Linked DNA regions of Astyanax mexicanus. The protein of the gene in region 1 interacts with the protein of each later gene in a pairwise test. Links are inferred from orthologs where the notes say so. Each region holds a gene or a part of one and is shown on either strand. Other genes may lie near its edges.

Evidence for each region. The genes of interacting proteins can lie anywhere in the genome.
Region 2: the proteins of lmo3 (region 1) and G patch domain-containing protein 2-like interact in binary tests that used the Homo sapiens proteins (3 or more experiments, as listed by UniProt). The link is inferred for Astyanax mexicanus from reciprocal best matches to the Homo sapiens genes LMO3 and GPATCH2L.

What each region holds. Positions count from the first base shown.
Region 1 is NC_064409.1:10,574,340-10,584,929, forward strand, and holds the start of lmo3 (LIM domain only protein 3), read left to right. Parts: upstream 1-5,797; 5' UTR 5,798-6,288; coding exon 6,289-6,391; intron 6,392-10,590.
Region 2 is NC_064421.1:13,980,498-13,991,707, forward strand, and holds the start of G patch domain-containing protein 2-like, read right to left. Parts: upstream 4,221-11,210; 5' UTR 4,137-4,220; intron 1,577-4,136; 5' UTR 1,567-1,576; coding exon 845-1,566; intron 1-844.

The DNA of each region.
Region 1 (10,590 bases):
CAAACCACTGTAAATAATGCTGTTTACATCACAACAACTGGACAAAATTTGATGGATTTTTGTTATTGTGTTATGTCTTAGTTTTTCTATTTTCTGGTTTTTTAACCTAAATAAATAATAATAAATCTATAAAGGCATACGGTCATTTTGCACTGTGCTTATGAACAGCAGTGGTTAAGATGTCGACTCTTTTAAGACACGTCTGTCTGAATGTTGACACCGCTTATAGCTTGATTTGTTGTGTCTATACAGTATGCAGTTTTTTTTTATTATTTTGTTATTTTTGAAAGGCACAAACACTCGCACAACCTGTGCTCCTGAAAAACGTGCCCGCCAATGACTGGCATCGAGTGCACCCCGCGCTTTCTCTCTCTCTCCCAGTGTGACGAAACTGTCTCCCCTTTTAAGTGAAGAAGTGTGACATCCCCATTTCCCTTAAGTGCTCTGTGTTTTAGCGTGCTCGCTAATTAGACGGGTAATAGGAGTGGCTCTGATTGGCATTATAAACGCTTCGCCATCGCTCCTCAAACCCTTCACGCCACCAGCCTCCTCTTCTCTCTCGCAGACACTCTCAGAGTTGCCATCAGAGGAATTATCAGAGATAAAAAGACATTATAAAAAAAGATCCTCCCCTGACAGATATTATCATTACAACCTTTTATCAAAAGTACAAACTTGTTTTCTCTCTCTCTGTTCTCTATTTCTCCCCTCTCTCACTCTTTACCTCTCTACTCCCGCTCCCTCCCTTTCGTGCTCTTGCCCTCCCTTCCTCCCCACCTTCCTTCGTTTCATCCCTTTCGCACACCATCCTTCACTCTTTCCCAGGGTGGTTTTTCGGCAGGGAGAAGAAGAAGAAGAAGAAGAGAGAGAGAGAGGAAAAAGGGGGAGCAAGCGAGCGAGCAAGCTTGTGAGAGGGGATAGAGAGAGATAGAGAGGGAGAGAGAAAAAAGAGCGGGAGATGGAGGGAGGCAGAAAAAAAGAAGACTGAGCTCTGTCAATTGGAGTGAGCGCACTACTAAGTCTGGCTTCACTACAAAGGTTAGCAGATCTGACTGTCAATACTGTCAGAGGGATGGAGTCTTTGGGAGAAGGAGGAGGAGGAGGCGTGGAGGTTAGGTGGTGATGGTGGTGGAGGAGGTGGAGGTGGTGGTGGAGGGCGGGGTGGGGGGAGAGCAGAGCAGGAGGGTTTTTGCTTTGAGAGAAAGAGATACTTTGATATTTCGGAATGTTGGAAGGGTGAATGTGGAGAGCTGGAGGTTGGGGATCTAATTACCGGGCCATAATTGGGGGCTGGGGAATAGGTTGCCGTCCTCTCAACTCGCTGCAGATCAATTATGTTAAGAGAACATCTGTAAGTAGAGCTTAATGAGGTCCATTAGAGCAACATGCGCTGCCTTCCCTAACGGTGCTTGTCAGCTTCTTGGATGAGCTGGAGCGCGCTGCTAACTAGGGACCTGCTGGAAGGTGCTTAAATAGGGCCGGCTCAGGTCCGCCTCGACTCTGCTGCCAGAGAGAGGAGAGGAGAGGACAGGGGAAGAGAGGAGAGGAGAGGAAAAGAAGAGAGGACAGAACAGGAGAGGACAAAAGGGAAGAAAACAGGAAGTCGGTCGTTTTTGCGTGGAGGAGAAAAGACAGAAAGGAGAAAGGAAATAAGAAAAATAAGTAAAGGAAACGGACTGCTTTCTGTTTGTGAAGAAGAAGAAGGAAGAGGAGGAGAAAGAAGAGGGGATCGAGTCCAGGCTTAGACCTGAAGAGTACCGGCTTGGCTGCTGCTTGTTTCGCTCGGTACAGTATCCTGAAGATTTTCCCCTCTTTATACACTCAGTCTAGAGTTGCCTGTGCAAAAAAAGGGAAAAAGGGGGTGGAGCATTGTGTCCTGTTATGATTTATATGTAAGACTTGTGCAAGTGTTTGGACAAAGTTTGTGTGTTTGCTAACTTTGCCACCATGGAAGTCTGATGAGTAGCCTAAAATCTAAAATTGTAATGGTGGTGGTGGGGGCTGGATGTTGTGGATGAGTTTTGTGTGACAGAAGGTGCAGTAACGTGGTCACAGGGCATTGCTTGCATTTTTGATTGGAAGCTTAGTGCACAAGAGCCATAGCCTGGTTGGTTGTACTGAGATGTTTCTATCACCTTGCGCTGTAGAGAGTGAGAGATTGTGTGTGCACATGCGTGTGTGTGAATGTGTGCCTGCACTTGCAAGTTGCATGCGGGTTTGCATGTTATAACTTTATGCACCTTTAGATTTCCTCTCTCTATCTCTCTCTTTCCTATATATACACACATATACCCATACACACGTGTGTGTACCGTACTGCTGCCCAGCTCATCTCTCCACATAACTCACATATCTGTGCTGAATAATTGACGTGATAATGCGCGAGATGAAGTGGTCGTTGGGGGGAGGGGTGCGAAAAAGAGAGAAGAGCCAGTCTCGCGCTCTCCATCTCTCTCTCTCTCTCTCTCTCACTCTCTCTCTCTCCCTTTGCGTCTCTCACCCCCGCAAATTGCATGATTACGCAGATAGCCCGCTTTGAAATAATTCAATCCATGACAAAACCTAATTACAGCCAGGTAATACCCTGTCAGCTTTAATGCATCTCATCACTCATAATGGTGGCGAGGAGCGTTTTATGACCCATCTCATTAGTGCTGCGCTTTAGTCACAGTGATTGGCAAGAGGCCGCCTGCCAGGACTACCGGTGGACTCGCTAACTCTGACCCCATCTCTTCACCACCCTCGTCACCTCACCCGCAGACTGATGGGAAATAAAAGAAAACAAAAGCAAACTTTCTGAGATCCAAGCTATTACCTGTTAGGCTACACTATAGGAGTGTTTTTACAGTTTGTGTGGAGTAATTATGGACTAGGTGTGAACAAAAGCGTTGTTTAATAGCGAAGTATCACAATATTGTAATGTTTTGGATTACTGTATTAATTCTCAAAACCACAGTGTCTGATTAAAGCATCGCTGGCAGACAGTGGTTCATATTATGATGTCCCCTCAGATTTCACTCTTCTGACTAATTGAAACATAAGCTTTTCATTTTCTCAGATTTTATACTATTGGCAGTTTTATCTAAATTTTGATAATAAAAAAATCTCAGTATATCGTCTTGCTTACAGTATTGCGATATATCACAAAATATTGAATCACAACACCATTCCGCCATACCTATCACCAGGTTCTTACCAATACAAAGCCCTAATATGGACATCAATAGGCACTCACTGAGGGGGGTAAACACCGAGTTTGAGCTTCAGAGACACGTACACAAGCATGCACATGTTTACCAGTGGAAATCAATTATATCTGCAGTAGCATGAAGTGTAAGCACACTGAGAACACTCAAAAAAAAGAGATGTGCCAAAAATTACAGAATGTCAGCACTGTTTCACAGTGAGTAAGTTTACAAGCAAACAATAAACCCAAAAATGTGTCATTGTGTCATTGCTGCATAAAATAGGGTAACTACAGGGTAACAAAAATAGGGTAACTACAGGGTAACAAGAGAGCAAATTGTAGGCTAATTAAATTAGAATTGAGAAGCAAGGTAAATAAACATTACAAATAATCTATGTGTTGCAAATTAGACACTGTCTTAGGAATGTGTTAAAATTAAAATTCCTGAAACAATATACGTAAAATGGACAAATTACCTCTTAGAGTGCAAGAAAACTAATTGTTCTATTCTGTCCAGGCAGTTAGTAAGTTAGTAGTCGGACCTTGGCCTGCAAAGTTGATACAATTTTTGGAATGTCGTTAAAAAAGAAGGCCTTTGACATTTAACATGACTCAGGTACCATTCTGACTATATGTAGCCTATATAAAACTTCATATTATAGTCTCTATCAGAGTGCACTCTCAGAAAAAATACTCTTCAGTACTATATTTACACAATTGTTTTACCCTAGTTTTAGGGGACATTGTTGGGCTTAAAGGATCATGCTGTACCTTTAAGGGTACATTTGCACTTTGATGAAAAAAAAGCCTGTTAAAGCACCTTTTATTTAGAAAGTGTGTTGTGGTCCTGGATGGCACGTGCACACTTTTTACAGAGCTTGAATTAGTTGCAGACTGAAAGAGAGAGTAAAAAGCGAGAAAGGTGAAGAGATAGATAGCAAGATAGTAAACAAAAACCTGTTTAGGCAGAGTAGACTGACTAGCAGAGCCGTTTATATACATGCGCGCGTCTCGACATCCACCGCACGCGCGCCAGAGAGCGAAGAGAGAGCGCGCGCGAGAGTGGTGTAGAGACAGACGGACGCACGCTCGCTCGCTAGCACGCGCGCGCGCTCCCTCACTCACGCAAGCTCACACGCACGCACGCACACACGCACGCGACTCCGACTATCAGTTATAAGTGAACGACCTTTTCCTCGCCGTGTAAAACGTCTCTCTTTTTGCTGGTTTACAGTAGTCACTCAGTAACGCAGTGCGTAAAAGAAGCTCGCGACTCGCGGCTGCGCGTGCACCGGTGCGCTGCTCCGTGTCTAGTCCAGCTTGTGTGCGCGTGTGTGTGTCTATGAGGGCTCGCGCGAGAAGAACACCTGTAGCTGCGTGTCCGAGTCGCGGGTTGTACCTCCATCCATGTGGACCTCGCTGTTTTACACCTGAAGATTCGCAGTCGTCCGGCCGCCGCGGCGCCATGTGGGTCTCGTGAACTTTATCAGTGTTGTTTTTCTGCTCGGAAAGATCAGAGAGTTGGGGGGAGTGAGATCGAGCCCGGAGTGAACCTTCTGCTCAACTTGGTCAAGAAGGTGAGTGGGGGGCAGCGGGGGGTGGTCGGCGGAGGACAAGACTTTGGTTCACTTTAGGCTTTAGTTTTAGCTAAGAAAAGTCACATTTTTAACACCTTCTTGTGAATGTGCTTGTAGAGCTAATAGGCTTCATTAGGTTTTATTAGTAGTATCTTATATAGGAACTATTAGGAACAAAAACAAAAGGCAGAACCTTTCAGACTTAGGTTTAAGTTACATTTATACATACATACATACATACATTTTGCAACGTTTTCAGCATGTTTTAACGCATGTCAGTATGTCTGTTTTTAAAAAAGAGTTATAGCATTATTTTCTAGAAGTTTCTTGTGTTTTTATATAGATTATATGTGCTTAAACAGAGTTGTTAATGTGTTTACTTTTCCACTTTTCTTTAACATTTTCTTTTTTTATGTCTTTATTAAGGGACTTTTTAAATGACTATTTCTTTTATTGGACAACAAAACAGCAGCTAGATGCCAGATGCATAAAACACCGGCATTTAGAAAATGTTTGTATCTGTAATATTTTATCTGTTACAAACATCAGCACTATTTTGGAGTAGATAAATAGCTGAAAGCTGAAATTTTCTTTTATAAAGGCATATATAAAATAATGTAATGTTTTCGTAATTACGTGTGTATGGACGTAGATCGGTTTTAGTATGTGATGGTTTTGTTGTTACTTTTTATTATTATCAGTATCCCACGTTATTTATTTCAACCAAACGCTTTGTAGCCTATACTGTTGTCGTTCAAAAAATAAAAACGAGTAAAAAGTCATCAAGACAATCATTATCATCATGATTATCATCATCATCTCCTCACTATAAACCAGCATAAACACACGAAACACACGAGCTGCTGCTTCTGGTGGTGGTGCTGCAGCGGCTGCTGCTCCGCTCGGTCCCCCTGTTTGTTTTGTGTGTGAGTGAAGCGGCGGCAGGATTATAGTGTGAGGGCGCCGCGGAGGGGTTTGCCTGAGCGTGTACGCCTTTGTGGTCCGCTGTCATTTTGCTCGCCGTCACTCCGCGCGCGGCTGCTGCGCTTCTGCTGCTGCTGGATCTAATTTCATAGTCGAGCTCTGCTCGTGACGAGACGCGCGGTGTTAGTTAGTTAGGGCTAGCTATATCAGCGTGTGGCGCGAGTCTATCTCTCCCTCTTTCTCTCCATCTATTTCTCTCGTTCTGTCTCTCCTTCTCTCTTCTCCGTGGCTCTACCCTCAGCAGCAGCGGCGGAGGTCCGGCTGGGCTCCGTTGATTGGTGTTTTCCTCGTTTCTCCCTCTTTCTTCTCTGAGGGAAGTGAGGCGACGCTGGATTTGTTAGCTAAAGCTACTTCTAACAAAAGCGAACCGCCCTCAGAGAGAGAGAGAGGGAGAGAGAGAGAGTGTGTGTGAGTAAGAGAGAGAGTGTGCGTGAGTGAGAGAGAGAGAGAGAGAGAGAAAGAGAGAGAGAGAGAGCGCACGCGGCTGCTCACTTTACGAAGACCGGGGGGGAAGCCTGGGCTCGCACCTCCTCTTGTTGCATGGTGTGTGTGGTGGCGGTGTTTTTGGACGAGCTGAAGCGGGTCGACCAATGCAGAAAAGGGAGAAAAGTTTCGGTAAGAGCTTCACTCTCTCCTTTTTCAGGTAGATTTATTGTTCTCTTACCGGTTGTGACCGTTATATCCGCGAGACAGCCGTTTCTGTGCTGTAACGTTATAGTTTCGTTGGCGTCTCCGTACGTTTCCTTTCTCCATTGATTTTCCTCTTTTTATTTATCGTGAGATTTTGTCTTGTGTGTCGTGTGTTTTCTTTTCACCAAAAACGTGCTGTAATTATACGTCTCACACTCTTCCGAATCGCATTTTCCTCCTGTGTTTGTGTGTGTTTACGTTTTTTAGTGTGTCTTAACGCTTAACGTTTCTCGTTTTCGTTTCTCGTTTTCGCTCGCGAGCTGATTTGAAACGCGTTTAACGCTCCCTGAGTTTAACGGTCGGGCTCCGTTCGCGTCGCGAGCCGCTTCGAAAATTGCCTCCTCTGTAGCAGATCTTATTGGCCTTTTCCAAGCACCGCGCTGCCATGGCAACCGTAATTAAAGTGATAAGCGGGTGAAATGTCAGCATCTCCGGCTCGCGCAGCTGTGACGCGCTTGAACGGAGGAGGGACGGGGATGAGGAGGAAAGGGGGGCAAATTGGTACTTTTTACCCAAGTCTCGCTCGAACCCTTAAAACCGTTCAAAAAACGCACGCGGTGCTTCAAGCAGAGCATGAGAGGAAAAATTGGGGATGAGCACAGACAGTGAGGGACCTCATCTGTGTGAACTGTTAGTGCTAAAATATAGACATAAAGGCATAAAGATAATAATAATAATAGATAGATACATGTAAGGACAGTCACAAGATAGGACAGTGTGTTTTATATTGGTTTTTGGTGTTGTGTTTTCTGGGAAATCCCAGAAAAGAAATGATAATAATTTGAGAAATCAGTCCACACACAAACTCCCAGACTGGCCATCTGGAGGCAGAGCACTAAAAGAATAGGGTCTGCATCAGAAACCAATACTACAGTACAGTACAAAGATTATACCGCAGGACTGCACAATATATCGTTTTTGCATTGACATCGCGAGAAATGTAATGTCATGTAAGGCAAACATCTATTTCTTACTTTTTGCCCAAACAACAGACATGCTCAAACAAACCCATAAGAACCTTCACAACACATGCTGGTGCTTCAGGGATCTCGTCTAGGTGAAGAGTTTGTGCTTAAATACAGGCATAAAAAAAATAATAATAGTTAGATATATGTACGAACAGTTGCAGGTTAGGACAGTGCTCCTTAGACTGGTTTGTGTTGTGATGTCTGGGAAAACTAGTTTGAGAAAAAACTCCCAGACTGGCCATCTGTAATGCAGAGCACTAAAAGAACAGGTTCTGCATCTAAAACCAATACTAAAGTAAAGTACACATATTATACTGTTCCATGTACTGTTCAAGGCATTGTTTTTGCATTGGCATCGCAATTGGCAGATTCATAATAAAATAGTCACATCTCAGGACATGTTGCGTTGAATGTCATGTAAGGCAAACATATATTCGTTGCTTTTTGCCCAAGACATGCTTAAACAAACCCCTAAAAACATTCACAACACATGCTGGTGTTTCAGTAGGACATAATTGGAAAGACTGGGGAAGAGCACAGACAGTAAGAGATCTCGTCTGGGTGAACTGTTCGTGCTGAAATACAGGCATAAAAAAATAAATAATAGTTATATATATGTAAAGACAGTTGTAGGTTAGGACAGTGCTCTTTAGACTGATTTGTGGTGTGTTTGTCTGGGAAAACCGAGAAAAAATAATAAATAATACTTAAAGAAATTAATCCACACAAAGACACACAGACTGGCTTTCTGAAGGCAGCGCACCAAAATAATAGAGTCTGCATCCAAAATCAATACAATATTAAAGTACACATATTATATTGTTCAACTTAGGACTGCACAATTTATCGGTTTTACATTGGCATCGATATGTGTAAATGCGTAATAGAATAGTGACATCACGGGATGTCATGGAATGTCATGTAAGGCAAACTATCTAATTGTTACTTTTTTACGTCTAATTGTTAAGGCTTGCTCAAAACCTAAAAACCTTCAAAACACATGCTGGTGCTTTAGTAGGACACAAGAGAAAAGGCTGAAGCTCAGTGTGTATGTAGTGTGCTAGTGACATTTAGTGTCTAAATATACACACACACACACACATATATGTTTATATTGCACTAATTCACGTATTGGTGGTGTATTTTTCTAGCAAATATGTATTACTTTTACTGCACTGACATACTATTCATTATAGTAGTGGCCATGTTGTACTAATGATTTTACTTTAAATGGTGATGTGCCATCTTAATCTGCTACGTATTGTACTACAAATGGTGATGTACTGTTTTGATGTACCATTCTGAATTGTACTATTCATAATGTACCAATTAACATGTTTAAATTATGTTCTATTTTGATGTATTACTCAGTATTGGTGTTATGTATTGTACTAATGAAAGTACTGAATAATGAAAATACAGCACCACATACATGGTGTTGTACAACACTGACAGACTGTTAAGTTTTTCTAGCATGCAGTTTTGGATGCAGCGTAGATTTATTAATTTATTCATTCATCAGAAATATACTGATACGTATTGTTCCAATATGCATATTACATATAACTGTAGCATACTTCTTTGTTATACTTTTCTTATGTTTCTTATATTATTCTGCATAGTTTACAAATTAATATACTCATATGTTGGCATATTGTTCTTACTTACTTAGTAACTTTGTATATTGTTGTTGTTCAATGAAAAACAAGTATCTCCATTTTTGTTGATTTTAGTTTGCTACATAATTTGCACAAATAAACTGTCACGTACACTGTGCCAAAATTTCTTAATGAACAGACCAATAGAAATACTTTAAAATGACCTGAAATAAACTGTACAAGTTTGAATGTTTTTGCTCTCTCTTGTAAAGTTGCTGTTATGGAAGTGTTTAATTTTCATTGGACAGCGATGATATATATTGTACTTATGAACAGGATGTTTATTTTACTGACTATGAATTATCTTATTATCTTTATTAGAAAACATATGTTAACTCACTCTAGTTTTGATACATATTGTAATAGTATTTAGACATACATACAAATATACACGCCAGTGTTCGTGTACTTTCGGATGTACTACTCAGTATCACAATGTACACACTGATCTAATGAATGTACCACACATTGTGATGTACTACTTCGACAGACTGTTTATTATCTCAGTAATAATCACAGGATAAGAGACGCATTCATCAGAAAAAGACTGTCGACTCAAACTAGTTCTGAGACATATTGTTCTAATAAATCTGCATAATTGGGTCTTTGCTGTTTTGACATTCTATTTAGCGTTTTTGTAAAAATCCTATTCTAAGAAATGTGCTCAAATTGGAGCGTACAGTTATGCTATTTCATTTCTTTGTAAACATATCGTACCAATGAACGTACTCATGACTTATGGAGTATTACTGCTGACATGCTGATGAGCATGTTACTGTGCGGTTCTGGACACAGCCTATAGCCTATAGGAGATGCATGTGTCAGAAAGGGACAGTCATCTCAGACTAGTTCTCGGGCAGAAGTAAGAGGAGTGTAAAAACTGGAACTTTTTTGGCTGGGTAATGAGAGGCGGCGGCTGTGTTGTGTTCCCCGGGCTGGTGCGGATGAGTGCTGCTGAAGAGGAAGCTCACATAGCAGAGGCGATCAGCCGTGCGCTCCTCTCACACACTCACCATCCAGCCAATTAAAAGCTCAACGGCTTAAATGCAATGGCTTCGCTCATTACCGCAAACAGAGTGGCAGTCCTTTTCTGCTTTCTTTCTTTTTATACAAATGCTTCACTTTTAATCAGCTCCTTAAAAAAAACTTCTGAGCAAAGCAGCGTTTTGTTTGCATTCAGATGACAAATGTGTTGAAAGGGGTTTGTGGCCTTTGGATGGTTTGCACATTCACATCTGTGCATTTCCACTTTCTTTTTTGGCTTTCTTCCTTTTTTTGCCATCCCTTTAACTTACAAATTCCTGCAACTTTAGAACGGCTCTGGAGCGGAGCGGGTTGTAGCATGGTGCTTTGCTCTGGCTTGTACAGGATTACATGTTTGTTACTAAGTGATAGTTGGACCTTGTGTACCTGAAATAGATTTGCTTCGGAGGTGTGTTTGCCTAAATCTCACAATTTTAAAACATTTTTCAGCCCACTCGCCCTTTTTGCCGAATCTGTAGTGTACAGTCAGTTGGCATGGAGAG
Region 2 (11,210 bases), on another chromosome or scaffold:
CTTAACTACAATACGGGATATAGAACAAAAGCATTACAATTATGCTGTTAGCTGTATTCATTAACAGCTAGTGCTACAAAACTTATAGCAAAGAGAGCCAATATATGGCAGTTTTAAGTTCATTTTTTTACACTTCCCAATAAATGAAACAAATTAAAGTGTTCAGCATCTCTCATCACACTTGGTATCAGTTTACTCAGTTTATTATCTCTTTACAAACTGGCTGTTTTCTAGCTGAAAGATACAAAATGTACAGTTCTAGGATAGTATTGTTAGATGAGCAACTTACAGCCTAGCACTGTTTGTTTACCAAAAGAGTATCTTTCTTTGCGTTAATCGCCTATTTTATATTATGTACTAATATAAAAATCAGACGGTGCTTGAAGTCCTACGTGTATTGAGGAGCAGTGCAGAAACTGACCCACATCAGGCTTAATGTTATATTGCCAATGTACTTAAAAGTAGGCTAGTTTATTCTACTTACCACCTCTCTACTCCCTGTCTTCCTTATTGTCGCACTCTCTGTATCCCTTGTTTTAATGTTTACAAAGTTTTGCAATTGCATTTTTATGATGTTTAACAGAATTCTGAAATAGCAAAGGCAATCATTTTATTAAGTGGAATAATATGCACAATAAAACACTTGAAACACTAAAAGTTTTCAAGTGTTTAACTGTCAAATTACAGTACATTTACAGTCCAATGAACTGTTTAATCACATAACATATAGTGGACAGTGTAAATAAATCAGGAAAAAACATTTTACTGTTAATTTAAATTTAATTTTAATAAAATTTCAGGTGTTTAAATGTAATGGTTAAATGAAAGAAATAAGCAGAAATACCATTCTGACATGTTTTCGTCCGATGCCTCCCTCTGCTCCTTGGCCTGGCGCAGAATCTTGTCCTTCCAGCAGTCTGCAGACAGGCCTCCCACTCCGGCCACAACAGAGCCTCCATCCTGCCCCGGCCAGGCCCCGGGGCGCTTTTTCAGTCGGCCTAACCTTTGCTTCTTATACGACCTCTGATGGTGGTGGTGATGGTGATGATGATGGGTTTGTTCACCCCGTTCCAACCCAGACACTCTCAGCTTCTGCTGCAGGCTCACGGTCACATCTGAGGTCATGCGTTTGACCTTACGGCGCCTGCGCAGCGGCCTTCCCGGAGTGTTCTCTGTGAAAGAGTCCGACTCTGGCCAGGAGTGCTGCCTGGCCCTAAAAGACACTGATGCTGAGGACCAGCGCTTTGCTATGACAGTGTCATCTGAATCACTGTAGTTAGCAGGCACCACACCTGCTGCTGATATGGCCACAGTGGCTGCAGCACCCTGCCTGTGGTCCCTGGTGAAGGCCTCGTCCAGGCTGGACTCGGACGGCTCGCTGAGGCAGCGTCCGTGCACCGGCCCGTGGAGGGAGAAGTCACAGCGTCGCTTGCGCCCCCTTCGTCTGCGGACCTGCCGCCGATGCTGCAGCGGGCTCAGCACCATCTCCTCCCACAGCTCATCCAGCTTGGCCTGCTCCGACGTCTGCTCCAGTGCCGACACCAGGTCCTGCACCAGCTCCTCCATATCAGCAATTCTGCCATCCAAACACAACAACGAGGTTTAAATGCAGAACTTACATTTTATTTAAAAATATGTTTTTATAAGTTTTTCATTGCAGACACAACATACAGAATAACTGCCAAATTCACTTATGTCAAAAAGTCACAAATGGAAAAATATTAGAAAACTATTACAAATTCATAAAAACATTGCAGCGAGTGGTATTACTACTACACAGTACAATCTAATACAAACCCTTTTATAAAACACTACTAAGCAGTGGGGCAATCTGTTTTGGGCAATATGACAGGATCTAAATTGACCTTTAGTCTATTTTTATACTCTTTCCATTAAAATCGTGTTTTATGTTACACTGATAGGTACATGTAATATCTTATTGTGTAGAGTGTTGTGTCTGCATAGCAGGAAAACCCATGTTTGCTATCAGTTGGGCTACACTAAACCAACCTCTGCACCCTACATCATGAGTGCGCTTTTCTATGCGTTTTGTGGCCATTGTGATTACTTAAACAACACTAATCAGAGTATATTGAATTCAATTAAAAGTTTAGTTTAAAATTATCTATACAATGTTTTTCACAACAGATATATTCCAAATACTTAAATACTGTAGCAAATTACATCTACTTCTTTACTTTCCACTACAAAATGTATATTATTTTATGCCATACTGCATGCCCTATACAGTAAATACTCAGCCTCAACATAGGATATTTTCTATTCGTACTGAGCAAAATGCATCTGTTGGAAAACTATTCACTAGTGGTATGCCATATTGTGTCATACGCAATATGTTAATAGATAATATTGATAATAGAAGTATTGTCTTTTCAACTAATATTTTTAAATACGTTTTGAATCAAGATTGTTTCTGGATGGTTCTACTGCTCGAATGTATGATAAACTATCCTCTTAAACCCTTGCTTATTTTAAATAGCCATATGCATAGTCATATGCATCTGTGATTCATACATTTTTTGAAAAAATATATTATTTTAGGTAGGGGTGGGCAATATTATATCGTATACAATATATCGTGACACAGAAATATCATGATATTAAAAATCCATATCGTGATAATAGGGCTGCTTTGTCTTAAAATTAGTCTATTATTTACTGGGAAGCTTTAGGTGTATTTATTGTATAATTGTTTTAGTTTGCAGTTTATATGCATGCACTAAATATCCTGTAATATTATTTGCTGCATTATATTATTTTATGCTATATTATTATATCATTTTGCCACATTATGATTATTCTGTTATACTATTATACTATATTCCTGAAATGAATGAATTATTTTAGTTTTCCTATATCGCCAAGTATATCGTTATCGCAAAAATACCCTGAAATATCGTGATATTATTTTAGAGCCATATCACCCACCCCTAGTACTGAGCAAAATGCATCTGTTGTAAAACTATTCACTAGAGGTATGCCATATTGTGTCATAGACAATTAAGACATTAAGACATAGTAAAAAATATAATTTCAAAAACCATTAAGTCGATAATAGAAGTATTGTCTTTTCAACTTATATTTTTTTTAATACGTTTTGAATCAAGATTGTTTCTGGTTGGTTCTACTGCTCGAATGTATGATAAACTATCCTCTTAAACTATTGCTTATTTTAAATAGCTATAATAATTGTCATATGCGTCTGTGTTTTGTAACAATTTTGAAAAAATGTATTATTTTAGGAAGGTGTCTAAGAATTATTATTTTGTTGCAGTAGAATATTTTTAAATCAATAAAACATTTTTAGTGTTTCGTCATATTGCCAAGACTGTAGTTATTACTGCAAAAATATAACCAAAATGATGGTGATATTACACTGCCTGGCCAAAAAAAGTCAGAAAAGCTTTAATTGTGAAAGGTCTGAGATTGGTGGTTGTTGTGGCTGTGGTGCACTGTGGTCTCAGGGCTGTGTCCACCCACTGCTATACTGACTGACTGCACTGCACTCAACACGCACTGCTGCTGACGTGAGGTGACGTCAGGGACCCTCAATGAGAGACCAAAACAATGCGGGCGCATTTGAGGATTACATAACACGGATGTCCTTCGAGACAAATGGCTTAAAAACGCCGCAGACCTCTAGTACCTCATTTACAACACCGCCTAATACTCCACCACTATCAGTGCACGGGCAATACACACTATAAACACTGTATAAACACAGTATAACACGCGGTTATAACACAGTATAACACAGCAGAGACGCGCTAGTTATCTCTCAGCTGTTCTCAACACAAGACAAAGCAGCAGCCCGGAGTCACACAGAACACTGTACCGCAGCACATATATACACAACATATATACATTACATATACACAATACACTTCTACAGCAGCCAGGCTGTATTTAATACGACACACAGCGCGGTGATAACGCTGTCACTATCACTAAACCTGCACACACAGCGAGTCAGACAGTGAGTAAAGTCAGCCGGCAGTATGAGCTGCAGTGTGTAACGCCCAGCAGAAGCCGTGTATAACGTGTATAAACCCTGTATAAAGAGTGTAAAGTGGTTTAAATGGGCTGATATCGCTGATTAAGCTCCTCTCACTCACCAGCTGCAGAACCTGCTGTTGTGTTTTCACAGCTGAAGACGGGGGAAGGACTTCCGCCCCGCGCATGGCGTCACTTCCGCCACCTCTCCAGGCAAAGCTGATTCTGCTAATCCAAATTAAAATATATATATATTTTATATTTATATTTATATCATATTTAATATTTAATTTTATGTTTTTATCAATAATAGCATTTCGAAGCTGCTAAATGAATAAAATAGGGGGAAACATATGTATATGGATTTTGTAAGTTTGCCCATTGACAAAGACCTGAATGGTCTATAATTTTAAGGATTGAAAAAGGTTGAATTTAACAGTGAGAGATAAAATATAAAAAAATAAAATCCATAAAGTCACATTGTATAAATTATATAAATTAAACGTACTGAGAGCTAGTTTCATCGTAGCAAGTGCACTATTTTATTTCTACTTTCTTACCATAATGGATGGATTAAAACATAACTCTAATAGGGCTATTTACTGTATACCAACTCTTCACAACACACCTGATGCTCTCAAACACATAAAGAGGGCAAGAAATAAAAAATAACTCCTAAACAGTTCAGCATGGCACCATTATTAGTCTGCAAAAAATGGTAATGAATAATATATATTTAGATATATTAATGTTAAAGGACTTAATTTAGAGGCTAAATTTGACAATCCATTTCCAGAATTGAATCAATTGTTCCCTTTAAATAATAAAGTATTTAAATAAATGCTCCCTCAATTTAACATAACTAATTACATTACATAATTAATGCAATACATAACTAATAAACTGTTACTAAAATTGTTACTAAACTGTAAAATCCTTCATTATTTATGTTTCCTTTTTTCAAAAATAATATTACATTTAAAGTAGCTGCTAAAAGAACCACATTGTTTCTATTAAGTCTATTTACAATGCTATTATTTTGGTGCAAATGGGGTATCAAAGGGGTCACTGAGTGGTCCAAAAAGGACAGGCTTTTTTACATGCATTTTACAAGCAGAGAGAAACAGACATCTGAACTGAGAGAAGCGTGTGGACAGATGTGGTAGAGTAATATTTGCAGTACTTTACGTCAATATGACTAAGGTTATACCAAAAATTTTAATGACAAGTGTTTTTGTTAAATAAATGCACATAAATGTCATACATGAAAAAAAAATGCTAGACAAATTAGCACATGTCCTTTAAACAAGTAAAATTAAAGAAAAGAAAAGTACAGAAACAAAAATTACAGACAGCAATCACTTTTTTCCAATGTATTTTGTCAGTTGATAGTTCTAGTTCTAATATTTTAGTCAGTAGGGAGTTCTAGTTAACACAGAGCAGTGTTAAACTCTTTTTAGAAAAAAAAAGAAAATAAATTAGCTGCAGTGCACATACACTACTGATATTACTTTATTATTATTTTCTCAACACCTGTGTGTATAAATGAAGTGCTTAAAAAGTAATCCTGAATTTATGTAGTAATAATTACTACTTTTGCCATACATTCTTCACTTCCCTCCCATACACACACTAAAAAAAGGAAAGGGGGGTGAACTAAAAAAATAAGGGAAAAAGAAACTCAGTGAACAAGAGCACAAAGACCATTTAATCTCTCTCATCTTCCTCTTAATAACTGCAAATTTCCCCCTGGGCTCCTGGGAGAGGGCCTCAGTGAGCGGCTAAGCCCTTATCTGTCCCTTCCACATTTTGTGCTGCAGACCGGCTCCCTCAGTACCCAGCCCCCAGGCCTCCGCTCACCCAGGCCTGCGGGACACACAGGCTCAGGGGCCCTCATTGTTTCAGGAGAGCCAGAGCATCCAGGGAGAAGAGCGACTGAAACACCAGAGGGACTCCACCGCTGCTTCATTCAGCATCTGCCTTTTCACAGGCAAACATATCAGAATCAGATCCCTTTCAGGACTAATAATTAGCAATTTAGAAACCTTGCCCCCTCAGGATACGCAGTTTCAATTTAGCCTGTCAGGCCAGAGCCTGCGTCACACAGCATTTAGCATTCATTGTTTCTTCCACTTTGCTAATTTCTCATTAGTACATTGTTTGGGCAGGGACAGGTGATAGTTTTTTAATTCATCTACTTTGTAATTCCACTGTTCATTAAGGTCTGTACAAGAGATGCTTTTGTGCGAAGACTTCCCAGTGCACCTTTAAAGGGCTCTACGGAATTGATCAAGAAATTATTTATTCATTAATTCATTCATTCATTTCAGACTGATTAAAAAAAGAACTTTAGATCCGATATAATAACCAGCATAACCAGCACACAGCGAAACTGTGAAACTACTACTTTTACTAAAAATAAGACACATTAAAAACTTAATAAAAAAGGAAAGAAAGAAAAGTCTCCAGTGCTGCTGAACAGAACATATGAATCATTTGGACGTTACTTGCTCTTTGTCTCTAAAATGCTAAAGCTTCAACTGGAAATGTTGCATGCTATAAATTTGTCCACAAAAGCAGAGTTATGGTAGCATTTATTTCTGCAAAAATGAAGAGCATGACTGATAATTCTGCCTCTGACTCTACTTTTTGTAGATCTGTGCACTTTGCAGCAGTCATCAGTAAACCCAATTAGTAGGGGTGTGCTGAGATCACATTCCAGGAGATCTTGCAAGATTAAAACAGCACAATATTTCTTGTCAGGTGTTAAATGTGTCTCTTGAGACTTATACACAGGTAACCAAAACAAATGTTTGGTCATTTTGGGTGGCAAACAGCATTGCTGGTCTGCTTTTTACACAAACAAACACCTGCGTCTCTGTATCTGCTGACTTTAACACACTGTTCCTTGTTCCGTTAATTGTATGGTCCACCAAATCTTGTGTTTCCGCCCACACATTCTCTTAATAGTGGAAACTGCAGAGCGACCTGCAGTTTTGTATTTTGTGAGTTTCAGTCAGATAAAATATTTTCAATCATCTATTTCATCTTTGAAATTAATAAATATATATATAGTGTTAAAATCCTGTCTCGTTTTGTGCACCGTTCTACTGTGCAGCATTGCACTGCACATGAGTTGTGGGTGAGTCATAAGTCTAACTAAAACTCAATCAACAATTGTACAGTTTAAAAAATATATGTACCACCATTCATGAAGAGAACACCTTGTCAACTGTCAGACTGCACTGGTGGCTGTGAAAACGTTGAAGTTGAAATGAGGATGGCTCCTACAACAGAATAATAAAAGACCATTATCTGGCTCCAAAATGTGTTTAGTCCTAACACTGTAGGGTGCACAGACATTTGCACTGAATACATTAATGTTTGGTTTCAGCTGAGTTTTTATTATTTCTATGATATAAAAGGTTTTTTTTTTTATTTGAATAATTTGTGTTTTATACAGCTACAGTTTTCTCAATTAAAATAAATAACAAAATTTGCCATTTCACCAAAGATGCCCAAACTTTGACATTGGTTTCTGTTATATTTATAAATAATATATAATATTAAATACTATTAAATATCTTAAAATATACATTTTCCTATAAATAAATATCCCAGGAAAGGATTATGCATCATGCATGTGCAAAGTAATCAGAGTTTTAAACTGTTAAAAAAAAGTTATTTCAGGGAAAGTGTTTAAAAATCCATCCCACACATCTTACCTCAAGGGGCAAGAAAAACATTTACGGAGGATAACCAAGGCTCCATTGTTTCAAAAGACACAACTCAACTCATTCATTTGCACTCGATTATGTATCACAAAATATAATTGAATTCGCTCCACTCTCGAACATAAAATGAAAGCCGGTGATAATGCATATTGGTCCGCAAACCGAAATTTCGAGATTCTCATCAGAGTGAGGAAAATACGCCCCAGCTTAGAACAAAAGGGGAGCGTTTAGAAGCACTGAAAAGGCTGGGGTTGGAATAATGAATGAAGTCCGAGTAAGCTATCTTCCCCGGGCAGGGAGTCACTGGGGATGCCAACGCAGAGCCGGTGAAATGAACTACCTATCTGCACAGAGAGTGACTGCTCCATCCTATTTGATTTGGCTCTCCTATCATCTCTTAAGAAGATGTCAGCCTTGCTCCATCTATTGCTCCAAGCCTTTATCAAGGCTAAGACGTTCCCCAGCAAGAAGGGGGGGAGCTGCATTTCAATCCCTTTCAAGGCACAACACTAAAGAATAACTGTTATGCGATAAAAAGCCGGTTGTTAAATAGATCTGTCTATTTGTATGGTAATAATGATCGTTTTAAGAGCCACCGTGTCATGACTTGTGGAACAAGGGAGCATATTTGTATGCAGGTATTGTGTAGTATCGTGACTCTTTCAACGACCTTGCAAAACTTTTATACTGTAAAAAATGGAGCTGCTACCTCTGACTTGTTCCATTTTTTTTATTCCCGTTCCTCCACTGTTTGAACACATCACAATGCACTTTTTATACAGCTTCAGGTACGGATACAATATGTAGGGATGGTTGTACTTTTTGGGACGAGAGTTAGGGAGGAGGGGGGGGTGTAGGAGTATTTCATATAGCCTAATTGCCATTAAATGTCATCTAAATGCCATTAAAGGCTTTTTTAAAACCTGACCTAAAAGTTGTATAAGTTACAGCCTCTTCATAATCTCGACCCACGGAAATTCATTTTAGTGCAAAAGTAAAAATACTAGAAGCTGCAGAGCTCAAATGTGAGAACATTTTCCAGACACTGGGGCTAATTATAGAGTGTTGCTTGTTTAGTCTAGTGCTGTAAAGGCTTCCTTAAATTTAATGTTAGATATGGTCTGACGATGATCTTGTAGTCATTTCTTCCATTTTTTTACATTTGTTCCCTTAACATACAGAAATGGATATGTCCCCTTTAAAGGTTGTTAAGACACTGGGAAAATACATAGCCTGTCCTCAAAGCTAAATGTGGCAAAATTATAAAAGATATTCTGCTCTTTTAAGAAAAAGACTTAAAACCAGCTACCAGCATAGGGTATGATTTTCTGGATGGCTAGCTGGTCTTAAGCTGGATTTTTAGCAGGGTGGTTTGTTTAAAACTTTATGTTTACAGAATGATTTAGCATGTTAAAGTTAACCTAACTTAATTATTAAATTAACATTGTAAAAAAAATCATAAAAAAAGAAAACACATTGAATGAGAAGAGATGTGTGTGTCCAAACTTTTGACTGGTAATGTACTTACTACAAAAGTGACAGTAGAATGTTCCATTGCATAATATGGAGCATTACCACAGAGTACCTGAATATAGGCCTTGTCAGACAATAACTAGACACTTCAGTGTTACTCTCTGAGAGCAGTGAGTAGTGAAAGGAGAAATAAAGCCATTGTGGTTGGGTTTCTCATTCAGAGTCCACACACCATACTCTCCAGCTCCCCGTGGACATCAGCTGTCATCAGCAACACTATCAGCAAACAAGACTGGCCCACTTAAGGGGCATTGTTTTTTGTTGGTTGATGCTGTTGCAGCAGTGATACCCATTTAACACTATTGTTCTTTTTAACATGGAGACAGCACTGAATGGAGAAGGAAAAATAGAAGTCCATTATATAGAGAGTAGATGTATGCACAGAATGACGATAAAGCTTTCTGGGTCTTCTAGAATACCACAGTAAGTCCAGTCCAGTAAACTCTAAGCAACATCATGTCAACTACCTGAAAAAACTATAGCAATCACATTACCACTCTGGAACACCCATCTACCATCCACTTACAAACATCATAGCAACTATTTGGGGAAGCTATAGCAACCACCTAGCAACCCTCTGGCAACCACATATCACCCACTTAGCAACATCATAACAACCCCTTGAGATGCCGTAGTGACCTCCTAACAACATCCTAGTAACCACCTGGCATACTATAAAAACCACTGTGAAACATTATAACAACCCCCTTGTACCACCAAGAACACAATAGCAACCACCTGGGATGTGATATCAACCACCTAGCAACCACTTGAAAGAGCATTGTGCCTAGCAATCACATACAGTTTCAACCACTTTGCAACACCATAAGTTTGGCAACAGGCCAGATATTTTCCAAGCCATTACATGGTGGACCACAAAAAATAAAGTGTTTTGGAAAATAAAGTTTAAAGGGATGGAGTGCTACATACTAGTAGCTCCCAAGCCCAGAGGGTTGTAGAACCCAATTGCAAAATAGTTGATTTTAAAGCAGGTAAACCCAAGAAGACAGGAAAAAAAAAAAATAAACACATCGCTCCTCATGTGTGCTCCCCCAGCTAGTGAATTGGGAAACGGTCAGAAAAAAATGCCCTTATAATGAGACAGGGAGCCCAAGAATGGGTGAAAAACACACTTTTTTTCAATATCATTAATTATAGTTCAAACAACCTCACGGGCCAGATGTTTCATGCTTGCGGGCCACCTATTGCCGACCCCTGCTTTACACTACAGTAAAGGCAGAATTCTGCCATGGTGTCTGAGAGCTACTTTACTTTCATACTGTTTAAGTATGGTGTTCAGAGGAAGCTCAGAAAGGTATGATGGGAAATGCCATTTTTCTCAGTGTGAAAGTGCTCACTGTAGCCATGATGGCCCTGCCTTCGCCCCGCGCTGCGTTCGGCTGTGGCCTCCACCCAAGCTGCTCACCGCTTTCTATTTATCTGCCCGTATAACTATAAAACTCGGTCAGGGGGCTCTCTCTCGCCTCGGCATGGCCCCAGCCTGGCAGATTGAGAGCGGCCCGTAATGCACAAGTCTGTTTTTATTATTCTTGCTGGGGGAACACTATTTCATCAAGCGCATGATTCCTCCTGGAGAGAGGGAAGAGGAGATAGGGTCGGCCGGCCCGGGCTATATTTCTTCCAATCAAACATTCCGTAGGGGAAAAATGAGTTGGCGCCATCAAAGCCAAGAATAATGCTGCCAGCTTTTATGTAAAAGGAAGGACTGATGGACAAATACAGGAAGGCACGACAAGTTTAATGACGTGTGTTGAGGGAGCCCGAGATTGGAAAAGTGACAGAGAGAAGCGGCCTCCTTGGTGGAATATAAATTGTGGGGGGCCCGCTGTAAAAAGGCTTTTATCTGGAGTGAATATGGGACGTAATGTGCAGGTCAGGGTTAAGTCATTTTCTCCGGCAAGTTAAGCG